Drosophila melanogaster: one gene and its partner. The protein of the gene in region 1 interacts with the protein of each later gene in a pairwise test. Each region holds a gene or a part of one and is shown in the gene's direction. Other genes may lie near its edges. The genes, in order: Rev1 and PolH.

Region 1 (8,082 bases):
ACTTCGATGTGTGCAAGTGTGCGTATGTAATCCAAAGTACTTTGTAATTAAAAAGGCTTTTCGCTGTTGTCATGTAATTTTGTGACCGTCATTTACGCGTTTGGTGACCGCTGGCATCATTGACGCGTGCCAATTGGCGCAATCACGTAATTAAGGTCACCGACAAGGTGGCACTGGGAGATTACACTTGGCATTAGGTAAAATAAACACACAACTGCATCAACCATTTGTCAGATCTTAATCAAAAATGGCATAATCACATTAAGCTGACCAAAGTTACAAGAAGACGTCTAACTCGCACATTTATTTAGCAAACATTTATTCAAATGCAATATAACATTAAAAACTCAATTTTAAACTTAAGTGATGCGCCTTCTTCGCACATATCTGCACAGTTAAAGTCATTTATCACAAGTATGTACTATGAATGTATGTTTCTTTCAACAACTCTGCGTTCGGCTGCTGCTTCTGTTTGGTTTTGGAATGGTCTGCACGTATAAAAGTACAAAATTGTTTATATTCGAGCCTGTTGTTTCTGGGAGTGTTTGTTTGTATCGGTATTTGGCAATCTGTTTTACACTTAGGAGCTTGGCGATTCGTTCAACAAGTGATGGAGAGGCAAAGAAATCGAATTCAACAAGAAGCATTACTAGGTGCTACATTTACGTCTGGCTACATGTGTGTGCGATATGCATACGTAATGAATTAATATGTATAATATGGTAGTTCTAAGTATTCGCATAGGTTGCAGGAGGCAAAGAGATCCGTAGCCCAGAGGGGCGGTGGAGGGGATAGTTTAAATGCCGCTTAAATACTGCTGTAGTCTGTGGAGACCCTGCTCCGAGCACCACTTATGTGGAGGTCACGCCCTTGCGGGCCACCAGCATGTTGAGTATCGGGTTTTTCCGGATGTAGCTCACGGCCTTTTTGTGGGTGACCATGGTGAAGTCGTAGCCGTTGCACTGCAGGATCTTGTCGTGGATCCGCAGACCTGCTCGGGCGGCGGGACTGCCCTCGTGCACCTCGGTCACATAGATGCCCTATTTTCAAAGGGGAAAACGTAACATTGTAACATTGAAACTGCTCTTAAGATACCGAACTAAAACTAAATTCCCCGACTTTCAAGGAGAGCTATAATTATTAGCTTTAAGATTGAAGCTCTCTTTTATGCCCGGAATTAGGTTCTAGTGTTTCCCAAGTTTCTCACATAATCCGTGTATCCCTGAGGGCTTTTCTTGTAGTCCTGGTCGATTCCGCCGCCGATCTTGAAGCCGCACTTGAGGATCTCGCGCCCCTCCTGGTCGTAGTCCTTCTCCTTGTGCAGCGTGATGGGAATCTGGGAATTGTGAGTCACATTTCATCAATCACTCGAATTTGAAAGTGGCTTGTCTTTTTTGCTCCAGCGACCCAATTTCACCTATACACACACAGGCGACTGTGCGTGTGAGCCAGGTTTAGTTCGTTCGCAACTTACGCTCAAGCACTCCATCGCCGTGCCGGCCTGGTGCTGGAATGCCATTTTCGCCATGTCTACCGATGCTTTGACTAACTTTAATTTGCTAGATTAGCTAAGATTCCGCTGGTAAATTCGTCTTAAGATTGTCGCCCACAACAAACTCTGCTTCTTCCTCGCAATCATTTATCGATGGCGAAAAATCGATAGGTTGCAGCAATAATGCGATTGTTGCCAGCGACTGCCGCTGACTTTAAATATATACTTTTCATATAAAATAAAAACATGAAGGTCTTTACGATTGCTGTTTGGCAATGTTTCTTAGTTTTATTTATACTATATTATACATCTAGAGTCCCTATGCCTATGAGCGCCGCATGGCCAGCATGGTGTTGATCTCCCAGATGATGATGCGTGTCCGATCGATGATCTCGCGTAGCTGCCTGTTCTTCAGCTTGACGGTCTCTATGAGTTCATGGTTCTCCTGCAGGACTTTCCGGTACTCATCGCACAGCGAGGGCTCGATTCTCGGTTCCGGCTCATCGCGGTAGGGAATCAGACTCTCGGCGCTCATGTAATCCATTCCGGCGTCGTTGCACTTCTCGTAGATGATGCGCACCCTCTTGAAGAGCAGCCGGATGGTGCGGAAGTACTCCTGCACCTTCTTCTCGGAGCTGTTTTCCCTGTGCGAGGTGGGCTGGATGCCCTTGAGGGAGGCGAAGACCTCCTGGAAGCGCGAGGCGATATCCTGCACCGTTTCCTGACCGAGACGGGACAGCTGCACAATGTTAATCTCCTTGTGAGGATTTTGCTGCGAGATAGCCAGCATATTGTTGCTGCCCCCGGCTCCACCGGGTGGAATTCCTGCGACCGGATTGAGTTGCTGTTGCTGTTGGGGAATGTTCTGCTGGGGCATGTTTTGTTGGGGCTGCTGTTGCTGCTGCTGTGGAACCACTCCCCCTCCGCCCATTCCCACACCACCGCCCATTCCCACTCCGACGCCCACTCCTTGTTGGGGCACCATCATTTGCTGCTGCATCATCTGCTGCTGCTGCTGTTGCTGCATCTGGTGCTGCGGAGACATGCCGGGCATCAGGCCGCCAGGACCTCCAGGTCCTTGGGGATTCATCTGCATGCTACCCGGGCCGCCCATCATGCCCATTTGTTGTTGCTGCTGTTGATGTTGAGGCGACATGTGCATTTGCTGCATATTGCCGTGCTGCATGCCAAATCCACCCATCGGCATCATGTTGGGGCCCCCGCCTCCTCCGCCGCCGCTCGATGGTCCCTGATTACCCTGGTTTTGACCGTATTTCCACATTTTGCAACGTTCTTATAAAATAAACAAAATATCACGCAGAACGATAAACTTTGGCAAATGACACTGTTGTCGATAACATAAAACAAAACGGATAGTGTTAGATAACGCTGAAACTGTATGCTCGCAAACAGCTGTGAAGTCGCGGGTTTTAAATTACCAATCCTAAATGATAGATCTAGATCTAGATCTAGATTATCTTCACTAGATAAATTTGAGTGTTTTTACTAAGTTTTTATTTGGTGATTACTAAAATTTAAATTCTTAGTCAAATCCAAAATGGTAATAATAGCCCCCTGCAAAACTCGTTAGGAATGCGTCCATGCGAAAAGAGAGTTGCCACATGCGCGCAAAAATAATGAACATAGGTGTGTCAGCTGAGCGGTATTGGTGGAATTCAATTTTGGCTTTTTCATGCTTTTAAACGATTAAAAATGACCCGCGATGAGGATAATGGTTTTAGTGAATGGGTAAGATGTAGATAAAATGCTAAAAACATTGTACATAAACCAAACCTGCTCTTTTCAGGGCGGCTACTTCGAAGCCAAGAAATCTAAACTTGAGGAGCAGTTCGCTGCCGCCAGCGATCCATTTCGCAAGTCGGACCTCTTCCAAGGAATTTCTATATTTGTGAACGGCCGGACTGACCCTTCGGCGGATGAACTGAAGCGTATTATGATGGTGCACGGCGGGACCTTTCACCACTACGAAAGGAGCCACACGACGTACATAATAGCCTCCGTTCTGCCCGATGTGAAGGTCAGGAACATGAATCTCAGCAAGTTCATCAGCGCCAAGTGGGTGGTGGATTGTCTGGAGAAAAAGAAGATAGTAGACTACAAACCCTATCTGCTGTACACGAACCAGAAGACATCGCAGCCCATGCTCATCTTTGGGAAACCCAAAGACAACGGCGCAAATGAGAGCAAATCGGATGTGGAGCCGCCGAAAGATAAAGCGGAAGTGGAAGTAGACTCTACAAAAGATGAAACGCAAATGGAGTTGGGTGGCATTCTCAAGAATTTGCAGCAGGCTGTGGCCACTTCGCCGGAAAAGGAGGCCAGTGCATCAGAGAGCAAGATCACAAACTTATCCACCACCTCGAATAACTCCACCACCGCTCGCACAGCCGCGGATCCAAATTTCTTAAGTGAATTCTATAAGAACTCACGACTGCATCACATCGCCACTCTAGGCGCGGGTTTCAAGCAGTATGTCTGCCGGTTGCGTCAGAAGCATGGTACCCAGGGCTTTCCCAAAAGAGAGACACTGAAGTCCCTTGCTAATTCACACCACAATTGTTTGGAACGCTATGTGATGCACATTGACATGGACTGCTTCTTTGTGTCCGTGGGCCTAAGAACCCGTCCTGAGCTTCGTGGGCTGCCGATTGCGGTGACCCACTCGAAGGGAGGTAACGCAGCCACCGATGTACCGGTGCATCCGCAGGCGGACCGAAAGGCAGAGCTGGAACTCTTTGCCCAGCGCTTCGAGCACCATTTCCACGATGGAGACAAGGCGGAAAAGGTGCGCTCGGGCTTCGACAAGAAAATGTCGCTCTCGGAGATCGCCTCCTGCAGCTACGAGGCGCGGGAAAAGGGTATCCGCAATGGCATGTTTGTGGGCCAGGCCCTGAAGCTGTGCCCGGAGTTAAAGACGATTCCGTACGACTTCGAAGGCTACAAGGAGGTGGCTTTCACTCTGTACGACACAGTGGCTCAGTATACCTTAAATATCGAGGCTGTGAGTTGCGACGAGATGTTTGTGGAGCTAACCGATCTGGCACACGAACTCAATGTAGATGTGATGGCTTTTGTGAGTCACCTCAGGCAGGAGGTTTACTCCAAAACGGGATGTCCGTGCTCAGCAGGAGTGGCAGGCAACAAGTGAGAGACCAAATAAGCCTTTTACAATTATAATATATATTATATATATTATAGGTTGCTGGCGCGTATGGCCACCAAGGAGGCCAAGCCGAATGGCCAGTTCTTGTTGGATTCGAGCAATGATATTTTGGCCTATATGGCGCCGATGTCTTTGGATTTACTGCCCGGTGTGGGCAGCAGCATAAGCCATAAGCTCAAACAGGCGGGACTGAATAATTGTGGAGATGTTCAGAATACAACGTTGGAGAAGATGGAAAAAGTGCTGGGCAAGAAACTTGGACAGAATTTGTTCCAGAACTGCAGAGGAATTGATGATCGTCCTTTGGCTTACGAGCAGGTTGGTGTGCAGATTTTATTGCGTCCCACATATTTGTTTCTAATACCGTACTTTTCGTTTAGATCCGCAAAACAGTTTCTGCCGAAATGAACTTTGGTATTCGCTTTACCAACTCGGTCGAGTGCGAACAATTTCTGTGTCAGCTCAGCGAAGAGGTTACTAAGCGTCTGGTTGAGATAAGGCGCAAAGCTAGATCGATTAATCTGAAGATAATGGTGCGCGCCGCCGAAGCGCCAGTCGAAACCTCCAAGTACATGGGCCACGGAGTTTGCGATATAATCAACAAGTCCTCTCTGATCAAATATGCCACGGATGATGTAAATGTAATCACCACGGTGGTCCTCGACCTGATGAAAGACGCCGATATACCGCCCGACGAATTGCGTGGGCTAGGCATACATCTCACTAGGCTGGAGGATGCCAACGAAGTTCGGAAGGAGAACAATATCAAGGAGATGTTCGGCAAAATGTCCGAAATGAGGAAAGGTATTTAATCCGGCCAATTTTGTATACCGATTTTATTAAAATGTCGTACACGTTTCCTTTAGATAAACCAATACCCCAAGGAGCAGTTGGCGATAAGTCCATAGGCGATGATAAAGGTATTTAAGCTGAAAAATAATTTACTTCCCAACTTATTTAAGACCTGTATATCATCTATCTGCAGTCAACAAACCACTCGTGTTTGAAAATAAACCTAAGCCCCGTGAGCCCAGGAATGTTTTGAGTATGCTCACGGCAGCAGCGGTGAGCAGGAAATCGGTAACCGAAGACAGGAGTCAAAGAGGAACTTCAAAGCCGATAACTCGGCCATTATCCCTTGTACCAAAACTTGATGAGGATGTTTTGGCTCAGCTGCCGGAGGATATACGCCTCGAGGTGATTGCCAATAGGGAGGAACACCTCTGCATTGCCGAGTACGATGGATATCGTTCTCCACAATATCCGACCCTCCGCTCACCGCCTTTATTAAATCCATATGTCACCACCAATGTGAGCCCGCTAAAGGCCACCGATCTTAAGCCATCGACTTCCCGGGCGGCTGTGGCTAGATTGCAAAAGCGCAAGGAGCGCAAGGAGCAAGAGCATTACATCCGATCGGATCAGATTGTGGCAGACTACATTGATGATCTGCCTGATTTCGTGAATCCCCATATTCTGAAGCTCATCTCACATCCCGTGGAGATGCCCGAGCTGCTGATGGGGGACAACTACAAGGACTTGCTGAACGATTGGGTCAGTCGCGAGGAGGTGCCAAAGCCGAATGACGTGGATCTTATTCTCAAGCAGGTTTCTCGTATGATTAAGAACGACCAATTGGACCACGTGTGCGATGTGATGAAGTATTGGTGCCGGTAAATAGTTCCATCAAAACACTTTTAATTTCTGCTCAACATTTTTGCTACCTTTCATTTGCAGGATCATCAATATGAAACGCAGCAGCTCTTGCTGCTGGCACGTGGCTTATAAGCACATTGAGGAGAGTATCCAGAACCAAATGCTTACGATTGAGGGTTACAGTCTGTTATTCATTGAGTACATTCGTTGCATAAAGTGCTCCTAAGACCCTGGACATTTAGAACGGATATTGGGTGTCATTGAGAATAGTTATTATAATAATGTAACGCCAAGCTATGAATGCGGCCAGCTGATAATGTTAATGAGCCATTAGTTTATAAGCCATCCATTAATTCGAGCCAAAAATAAAACATTCTGGTAAAGAAAATTCAATCCATACCATATAACTGACTTGTTGTAACCTACACTTCTAATACTTTTCCATATCTTACTAAATCCTATATATAGATATAGAGCATGCTCCTATTCATCTACAACTTCGGGGACAGGTAGCAATTATTATTGCAAGTGCGGTAAATAAAGTGGGGCTGTGGCCGCTGCGACGATGGCGTTGATAACTTCATACGCAAAGGGCAGAGCTGCATCTTAGCCACCGCCGGGTGGCTCAACCAAACGCCCCAGTGTGGCTCTTTCCCACCAAGGCTCGGCCACTCAAGACAAATAGGCCAGGCGGGCACAACACCTGGCGGAACTGGCAAGTCATAATTTGCACTTTAATGAAAGCGGCATCGATTCGAACAGGTTAGTGTTGAACAGTTCTCTAAAGTCACTGCAGTTAATCGCTGCGACGGCTGTAATATGTAATTGATTCGCATGCGGCATACCTACACTCAAAAAAATTAGCCTTAGGTTTCATAAAGCAATCTACATTATAAGGATTTTTGTTTAGGGCTAGATCAATATAAAAAATATATTTTATGAAAGTGTAGAACACATTTTTGGTAAATTTTTTATTGATTTTACTTTATGTGTTCTCAATTCTTTTCGAATAGTCAGCGACCACCTGCCCCAATCTCAATCCCAATCCCAATCCCAGCCCATCCCATCCGCAACCGCATGACAACCATAACAATTACAGTGCTCATGCCAGGAAGGCAGAGGTGGGAAAACTTGGGATCATACGAAGATATGTACCTATTTTTAGAATCCATATGGGTAGAGTTAGTGAATGAGTGTCCTATGGACTTAGTACCATATACATGAAATGATAGGTAAAGAATTATAAATAATATTATTAATCCTTATTAGATTTTTATTTTGCATTAGAAATCATTACCTATTTCCAAGGTACTTCAGCTAAGTAATTGTTTATCCGACATGTACAATATAACTCGTATCCCACCTGGCCAATAAATTCTCACAATGTCCATCACTGACCACTGGCCACCCCACTTTGGCTGGCAGCTGGAGCTGAAGATGGAGCAGATGTTGCCCGGTAATTAAAAATAGTCAAGCTGCATTTCTGGCTCAGCATCCGGTGTCGATGTGGCTGGTGTCTCTGTGGGTTGGCTTGACTCTGGATGGGATGTGATGGGATGGGACGAAATGGGCTGCACCCGGCACTCGGGATTTACATGAGCTACGCTTTGTCTGATTTAATTATGTGCGCAAAAGGCGTCGTTGTTTCATAAATTTTATGCATCCTGTCGTCGCGGAACTCGGTAGCAGCAACATGCAGCAGCCGCTGCAACTTGCCCCATGATGTGGTCGAGTTATCTCAAGTTGGCCC
Region 2 (7,733 bases), about 21 Mb from region 1:
GGCCTCGTTCACGAGCTTGATTTTAATGTCTGAGGCACGTTGAGGGCTGATGGTGATATCTAGGTTGTCATCCTGACCCTTTCCTGCTCCGTAGTCCGTAGTCTCGTCCCACTGAGATCGCAGTTCCGGCTCAAATTCCCTGCCGTACGCATTGTTCACCAGCTTGGCCACGTTAAAGTCTAACGGTGACCGTCCAGGCAAGGCACCATTCATGACAACCTGTGGTTTTGCACTGCTCGTCGATTGTAGGGAATCGCTGTCGCAGCTCTGCTGGCTGTGACTGGAACTGACCACGCCCCCACCTGCGCCGCTGGCACTGGCCTTACTGCCCAAGCTTAGGGATTCCGAAAGCGGCTCGTCTCCGCCAACGTAGTCGTTATCCAGACAGCTTACATCCTGCCCTCCACTGGCTCTGCTAGTAAGTGCATCCACAACCTTAAAGGCCACGCAGTAGCGATTGCTGAGACAGGCGATTACGTTCTCGGCTAGACACAGACGCACAGGGACGAAGTTTAGTTGCACGAAGAACTTAAAGGGCAGAAAGTCGATGAAAGCGAACCTAGGCTGCGTGTTCTCATGAACGCACTGGGTGTATTCGTAGAGGTAAATCCTGTCACGACTGCTCACAATGATGTTTCCGGATGTCTGGCAGCATTGCACCAGCTCCGGCGGACTGCGCAACGGCAGCTCAATCACATCGATGCTCTCCACCAACGGTGTCTTGGGCGTGGTCATCGAAGCTATTCGAATGGTAATGGGCAGCTCGTTTAGCCGGCTGTCCGGGAACTTCCAGAAGTTGGCGTAGATGCGTACGAACATCTTCGTGTCGTCCTCAGAGCAGACTGTATTGCTGTTGCTGCTTGATGTGCAGCTAATGGTGGAGGAGGAGTGCACCGGACTGCCCGCCTGTTCCTTTTCAAGAGTAAGTAGGTATTTGCCTGAGGAAGATTCATCTTTAGTAGCGTTTTCAGATACATATACATAATATATACTCACCAGCTTCACAGTAAATAAGTTGCACCACTTCTCCCACCGTGGCCAGCGTGCTCCTGCTCGGCGTCCTCTCATCACCAGCGGTGGTGGTGGATTCTCCTGCCGTCTCATTGGATTGTCCAACGTCCTCTGGTGCCGTTCTTGTGTGGTCCTCAGATTGAGCCTGCTTGGCACCTATGTCGTAGATCTCGATGAACTGTTCAGCACTGCTGATGGCTATGCGGTTGTTCCCGATAAGGCTGGCCGCCAGGATGTCACCGTTGAGGGCATACGTCTGCTGCCTGGCAAAGTTGTAGGCCTGCAGGATCTTCACCATGGTGGCTCTCTACAAAAAAGACGATGAATTCTTTTTTTACGGCACTCTAGAATTACAAACTAAGCCCTCAGCTTAGTGGAGTGACTTCATCGCCGGACGTACACAGACTGATGGCCTCACCGTGAATCAGCCACTAGAGCAGGGAGTTCTCTGACTGAGCGTGGGACAGAGAAAGGGAGAAGTCCGAGTGACAGTGGATTGGCGGACCGCTTAGCGGGGCTCAAGTGGTTCTTATTTGGGCATGTGAACCATTAGCATAATTGTGCGCTTATACTGGGGTTAGGGATCGGAAGAGTGGATGTGCCGATGAGGCCTAAGGCTAGCGCATATGGGCAAGCTAGGCTAGGATAGGGCAGTTAAAAAGTGAAGCACTTAAATTTAATAAGAGTTAGCCGCAGAATATTTCGGGATTGTAGATAAAGTCGCGATCAAAATTAAATCTTTAATCGGTAAAAATTTTGTTAATCTACGATATATGTATGTATACTATCTGGAGTCACAAAAAGTAGGGAAGCAAATAAAACTGTGATAAATACATTTTAAATTGAAAATCCAAAAATATCACTCGCAGTACACCTTTTTCATTCACCATCCGTCTTTCAGAATCATAGATATGCAATCGAACTTTTGAACACCTTTTTTAAAAGAGAGAGTGGTACATTTGGTAAAACAAGAACCCGTCCCAACGTCGTGCGGCATCAAGTATTCCAATAGGTCAGTGCTGCACCTTTACTTCAGGTGGAAGTCCTGCGTTGTTGTATTGTACGCTTTGACCATAGAGTAAACAGACAGGAAATTAGGTCACGATAGTATACAAAAACACGCCCTTCCTGATTTCCGCCGCCCACCACCACCGGCATTCTATGAGGCGATTAAAGTGGGCCCGGTATCCCAACCCCGATTCCGAGTAGCTATACGTGAGTTAGCCCAATTAAGCCATTGGACATTCGCTGGACATACCACTCGGCGCATCAATCAAAACAGCCGGCCAGGAGGCGGACACGGAAGTGGCATAGCCGGAAATAGACAAGGATTGAGATTTATTTCTGGTCGCTCGGTCAAATCAATAATTCCCGCGTAATCCGTGCGTTAACCCAAATGAACTTGGGAAATGGAGAAGCCAGAACATGCAAATGTGTGTTACGGCGGGGAATGGGGTCACTAAGAGATGTGTGTGCGTTTTCAGTTGCATTTTGGCAGCGGCTTATATGGAAAAATCAATATCTAAGCATTTTGTTAGAAGGTGCCGCTGGAAACTTGGCAAATAATTTACTCTTTGGCAATGTCTTACGTTTAAACTCGTTTTATTATTCCATACAGAAAAACAGAAGACAGGGTTTAAGGATTTCTGAAATGCATTCTTCTTCGGCGTAGATGTTCCGACAATATATGTTACTTATTATTAGGTGGTAGTTATGCCACGTAAATATAACTCCCAGGACTCCCCGGACTGCACATAATATTTACTCGCGTTTGTTTATATTATTTCCGAGTGAGAAACGACAAACTATAAAATATCCAATATAGTGTGACCAGGTTTTGCTCTAATGCGAAGTACGGATTGGGTAGAGATAAGTATTTTTCAAACTACGCTAGACTACAAAGCATCGATACAAGGGTACGTTATTTAATACTCTCTAATTTTGAATTTCTAAATAGCTTAGTAATAAGAGAGTCTTTAAAAGTATAAAGCTCCACTACTATCGAAAATATGTTTTCAACAAAATTCTTTACTTTTACTTTAAGGAATATCTAACTAAGAAATGATTTATATCGAAGATATAACACAACTGCTTTGATATGTGTTAAAGAGCATATTTTTATTATTATTATTCCGAATTCTTTTATCAGATTTAAATATGGGAAACACTTTAATGTATTCAGTATTCAAAAATGCATCGGTATTTTAAGAAGTCCCCGCCACGGCCACACTCCTGGCGCGCAGTGAAATTCGCGCAATAATACGAAATGAAATCATGTCCAGCGCACGCAGCCATGTCAGCATGCAGAACAAGTACGACCGCGTGGTCCTGCTGGTGGACATGGACTGCTTCTTTTGCCAGGTGGAGGAGAAGCAGCATCCGGAATACCGCAACCGCCCGCTGGCCGTCGTCCAGTACAATCCCTGGCGAGGTGGCGGCATCATAGCAGTGAACTACGCCGCTCGTGCCAAGGGAGTCACTCGCCACATGCGCGGCGACGAGGCGAAGGACCTGTGTCCGGAGATCGTGCTCTGCCAGGTGCCGAATATCCGGGAGAAGGCCGATACTAGCAAGTACCGCGATGCCGGCAAGGAGGTGGCCAACGTGCTGCAGCGATTTACGCAGCTCCTGGAGCGCGCTTCCGTGGATGAGGCGTACTTGGACATAACGGAGACCGTTAACCATCGCATGCAGCAGATGCAGAGTGTAAGCTCTGGCACATAATTTTAAAGCGTTTTATTATTATTTTCCTCGTTGCAGGGAGCCTTTGCATTGCAACCGCAGGAACTGGTGAACACCTTTGCTGTGGGCTATCCCAGCATTGGCGACTACGTCAACAAGATAACAAATCGCTTCGCCAATCCCTACATGGACGACGAACGCTACCAGATGTCCTACGACCAAAACGACCTTCCCGCCGTCCGACAAAGCGACATTCGGCTTCTTATTGGAGCCTCTGTGGCAGGTGAAGTCCGCGCGGCTGTAAAAAAAGAGACAGGCTACGAGTGCTCGGCTGGCATAGCGCACAATAAGATCCTGGCCAAGTTGGCAGCTGGAATGAACAAGCCCAACAAGCAGACTATTTTGCCGTTGACGGAGACCGCCAGCCTCTTCGACTCCTTGCCTGTTGGCAAGATCAAGGGGCTGGGTGGCAAATTCGGTGAGGTGGTGTGTGAGACATTAGGCATAAAGTTCATGGGCCAGGTGGTCAAGTTTTCGGAGGTAGATCTGCAGCGCAAGTTTGACGAGAAGAATGGGTGGGTCCCTTAAGAGGAGTAGACCACGTTCAAAGTAACTTATTTCCTCTTATTCCAGAACCTGGCTATTTAACATCTCTCGCGGCATAGACCTGGAAGCCGTGACTCCCCGCTTCTATTCGAAAAGCATTGGCTGCTGTAAAAAGTTTCCGGGTCGAAATAACATTACGGGGTTGAAAACCCTTCAACATTGGCTTGGTGAGCTTTCCTCCGAGATCAACGACCGCCTTGAGAAGGACTTCATCGAGAACAATCGCAGGGCCAAACATATGGTGGTGCAATATGTGCAGGACATTGACGGCGAGGAGGTGGCCAGCTCCCGCTCGACTGCTCTCAGAGATTACGACCAGGAGTCCATCGTAAGGCTTTCTCTAGACCTAATCAAGGCAAACACTAAAACGTTTCTGCGTCCTGGTAGCGAGTCTGCTTTAAACAATGCTATCAAGTTCCTTGGCATTAGTGTTGGCAAGTTCGAAACCGTCTCTAGTGGGCAAAACAAGCTGCAGGAGATGTTTGCTAACCAGGCTGCCAAGAAACGAAGGGTAAGTGGAGATGAGCCAGGGCAACTGCCTAAAGTTGAAATGGAGAAAAAGCAGAAGCAAACGGACGAATTTAAGATGAAGAGCTTCTTTGCAAACTATTTGCAAGGAGCTAAAAAAGAGGATGCGAAAGCAGACGGCATTTCTGCGAATCCCTTGGCTGCTGCAGCAGGTGCTCCAAACAAGAATTTCGTAGAGGAATACAAACATAAGCTTCATGCGGCCGTAAGGACTGAAGGAACTGTTCTCACATCAACACCAGCGGAGTTCAAGGAAAGCTTTTTTTCACAGTACCTAAAACAACAAAAAAAGACAGGACAGCAAGGGTCGGTTACATCGAGGGAGGACTCCTTAGATGTGCAGGAGCTGGCCGAGGAATTGGACGCCATTGAGGCTGACAATTCGAAAGATTTTGAAGAAGACACTGAAGAGGAGACGGAGTTAACTAGTGATACCCACATGTCTAAGCCTGAAGGACAGTCATCCGATGCCGGACAAGAACAGGATCCAAACACCTTGAATGATTCAACAGGGAATGACTTATACGTTGAAACTGGTATTGTGCCTCCCACGCTTACTGAAGACGAATTGAAGCCTTCAACATCAAAAAGAAAGTTCGATGAGATCGAAAGTTCTGTAAGTAATTACAAGGAGTGTTACGTAGAGTTTGCAGTACCCAACCTTCGCACCGATATCTTGCCTACTATCAAATGCGATCAGTGCGGAGCAAACATTCCCGACGAAGTTAAGTCCCTACAAACACATAGAGACCATCACTTCGCCCAGGAACTAAGCCGAACGCTAAGAAGCACCGAGCGGGAAGAGAGGACGCAGAGCCGACAGAAGATATCTCTTAAGCCGACGCCACCCAAAAAGAGCAAGAAGACGGCTGGTTCTGGTAGCAGTTCCTACAGTACGGCACCACCGAGTAACAGCATAACCAAGTTCTTCCGCGCCAAACCAACTCAGGAGCAAGCGCCCAGTGATCCACAGATGAATCAGTGCCCCGAGTGTAAGGCTTTCATCAAGTGTGTAGACATGCCGGAACACTTAGACTACCACGTAGCCAGAAACCTTCAACGTGAACTAAACCAGCAGGATCTGCGAACTCGAACCGCAGCTCTGAATAAAGAAAAAATATCTCCAGTTCAGCCAAAGAAACAATCTCAGAAGAAACTGAACTCAACCATTTCTGCATCTTCAAGCGGAACAAAGACAATTGCCCAGTTTTTCAGCCAAAGCAATTAGAGAAACCCTTACACCGCTCCAAGTATTTGAACCTGTATAAGTACCTACGAATGGACCACAGACAAATTTACTTCACTTTAAGATTAAAACATTTTCACATTCAATTCCAAATTAAAAAACAATAATAATTTTTTGCTAGCACATATCCTAGTTATTAAAATCTCAATCTGGCTCTGGACAGCAAATTGATTAGGATTGTTTATTTCTTTTTTTTACTGCTGTTTATTATTTTTTTTTTCAAATCGAGTAATGAAACTCTTAGATTTAATTTTTTTTGTTTTATTTTTCCAATTTTAGGCTTAAGTATTAATGTTGATCATTACCATTACCATCCATCCGTTAATTAATAAAACACAACGCTCTGTCAATGCTAAATATTTTATATGTATAGTATGGTTTGTTCTTAGCGTTATAACACATTTGAAGAGAAATGTATTTGTCTTTGTATTTGCAGGCTGCCTTAAAATAAGATTACGTTAGAACTACTGCGCTTGAGTGGCCGTGACGACTAGATCAAGATCCTTGCTCTTCGATTGCTTCTTGACGCCTATGGCGTCCGCTTCCTGCACTGTTGTAGGTAAAACTACGTTGGTGGTCTCTGGAAAGAACAGCGTGAGCAGGCCGCTCACGATGGCGGCGCCGGCGAAGAGCATGGCAGGAGCATTGGCATAATACTTGGCCTGTGGAGAAAGGGAAAGGAAGCACTTAGATATAACAGGAGATCCTTGTAGCTTTGAGCACCCACCAGAAGAGGCGTCTGCGGGGCCAGCATGGAACCAAACCTGCCCATCATGGAGCAGAAGCTAAGCAGACTGTTTCTCAGATTCGTGGGATAGATCTCTGAGGCGAAGAAATAGAGCACCTGGAAGCTGGCAGTGATGGTCAGTTTGCCAACAAGAAATAGCACCAATTGAAGCACTGGCTGATCCGCGCCGGTGAATATCGTTCCGATGCAGCAAAGACCGCTGGCTAGCATCAGCCCGCAGAGGGAGTACCGCCGGCCGAAACGGTCCATGATGAGCAGGGGCATGAAGAAGCCTGGAATCTCAACCAGGGCGATGTAAGCGAAGTTATTGTACTTGTCTCCATCCAACAGCACAACATTAAGGCTCAATCCGTAGTAGACCAGCACGTGGACAATCCAGCAGAGGGAGCAGTTAGCAATGCGCCACTTGAAGTTCTTGAAAGCCTCTCGTATGGGGAAACGGCTTTCCGACGACTGCTGCAACTTGTCCCGATTGGCCAGCACAAGCTTGTCCAGCACGCTCTCCGGCAGCTCGCGCTTGTTCACATGGGCGGCTCGCCGAAGGATATTCTTGGCCCGCTCCTCCTTGCCCTGACTAAGCAGCCAGCGCACACTCTCCGGCAGGATCCAAAAGTAGGCCAGCAAGATCAGCGAGGGCCCGTACGTGATGCGCAGTAGGATCCGCCAATCGTGGAACGCCTTGGCGGACATCGCGAGCAGCACCTCACCCACCGCGTAAAAGACCGTAATCACACTGCACGCCAGCACGCGTCGCTTGGGTCCCACTAGCTCGATCCCGATCACGAAACAGGTGGAGTACAACGTACTGCTGGTCATGTTGTCCAGGAACTCGAACACAAGGAACCAACCGTAGCTGGGCGAGAAGGAGCGAATTACGCCAAGCACGGCTCCCAATATTCCGCCGAGAGCGAT

The links.
Region 2: the proteins of Rev1 (region 1) and PolH interact in a two-hybrid assay, tested with the Drosophila melanogaster proteins (one study listed by BioGRID).

What each region holds. Positions count from the first base shown.
Region 1 is NT_037436.4:651,237-659,318, forward strand, and holds Rev1 (DNA polymerase Rev1), read left to right. Parts: upstream 1-3,126; 5' UTR 3,127-3,205; coding exon 3,206-3,241; intron 3,242-3,299; coding exon 3,300-4,657; intron 4,658-4,711; coding exon 4,712-4,994; intron 4,995-5,056; coding exon 5,057-5,480; intron 5,481-5,542; coding exon 5,543-5,596; intron 5,597-5,661; coding exon 5,662-6,349; intron 6,350-6,413; coding exon 6,414-6,558; 3' UTR 6,559-6,735; downstream 6,736-8,082. Other genes in the region: CG3402 (uncharacterized protein), read right to left, coding at 852-1,040, 1,208-1,336, 1,475-1,528; MED30 (mediator complex subunit 30), read right to left, coding at 1,818-2,774. UniProt on the Drosophila melanogaster protein: Deoxycytidyl transferase involved in DNA repair. Transfers a dCMP residue from dCTP to the 3'-end of a DNA primer in a template-dependent reaction.
Region 2 is NT_037436.4:21,937,322-21,945,054, reverse strand, and holds PolH (DNA polymerase eta), read left to right. Parts: upstream 1-3,242; 5' UTR 3,243-3,285; coding exon 3,286-3,717; intron 3,718-3,771; coding exon 3,772-4,268; intron 4,269-4,326; coding exon 4,327-6,055; 3' UTR 6,056-6,421; downstream 6,422-7,733. Other genes in the region: CG14562 (uncharacterized protein), read right to left, coding at 1-938, 997-1,309; SLC22A family member, read right to left, coding at 6,538-6,735, 6,801-7,733. UniProt on the Drosophila melanogaster protein: DNA polymerase specifically involved in the DNA repair by translesion synthesis (TLS). Plays an important role in translesion synthesis, where the normal high-fidelity DNA polymerases cannot proceed and DNA synthesis stalls.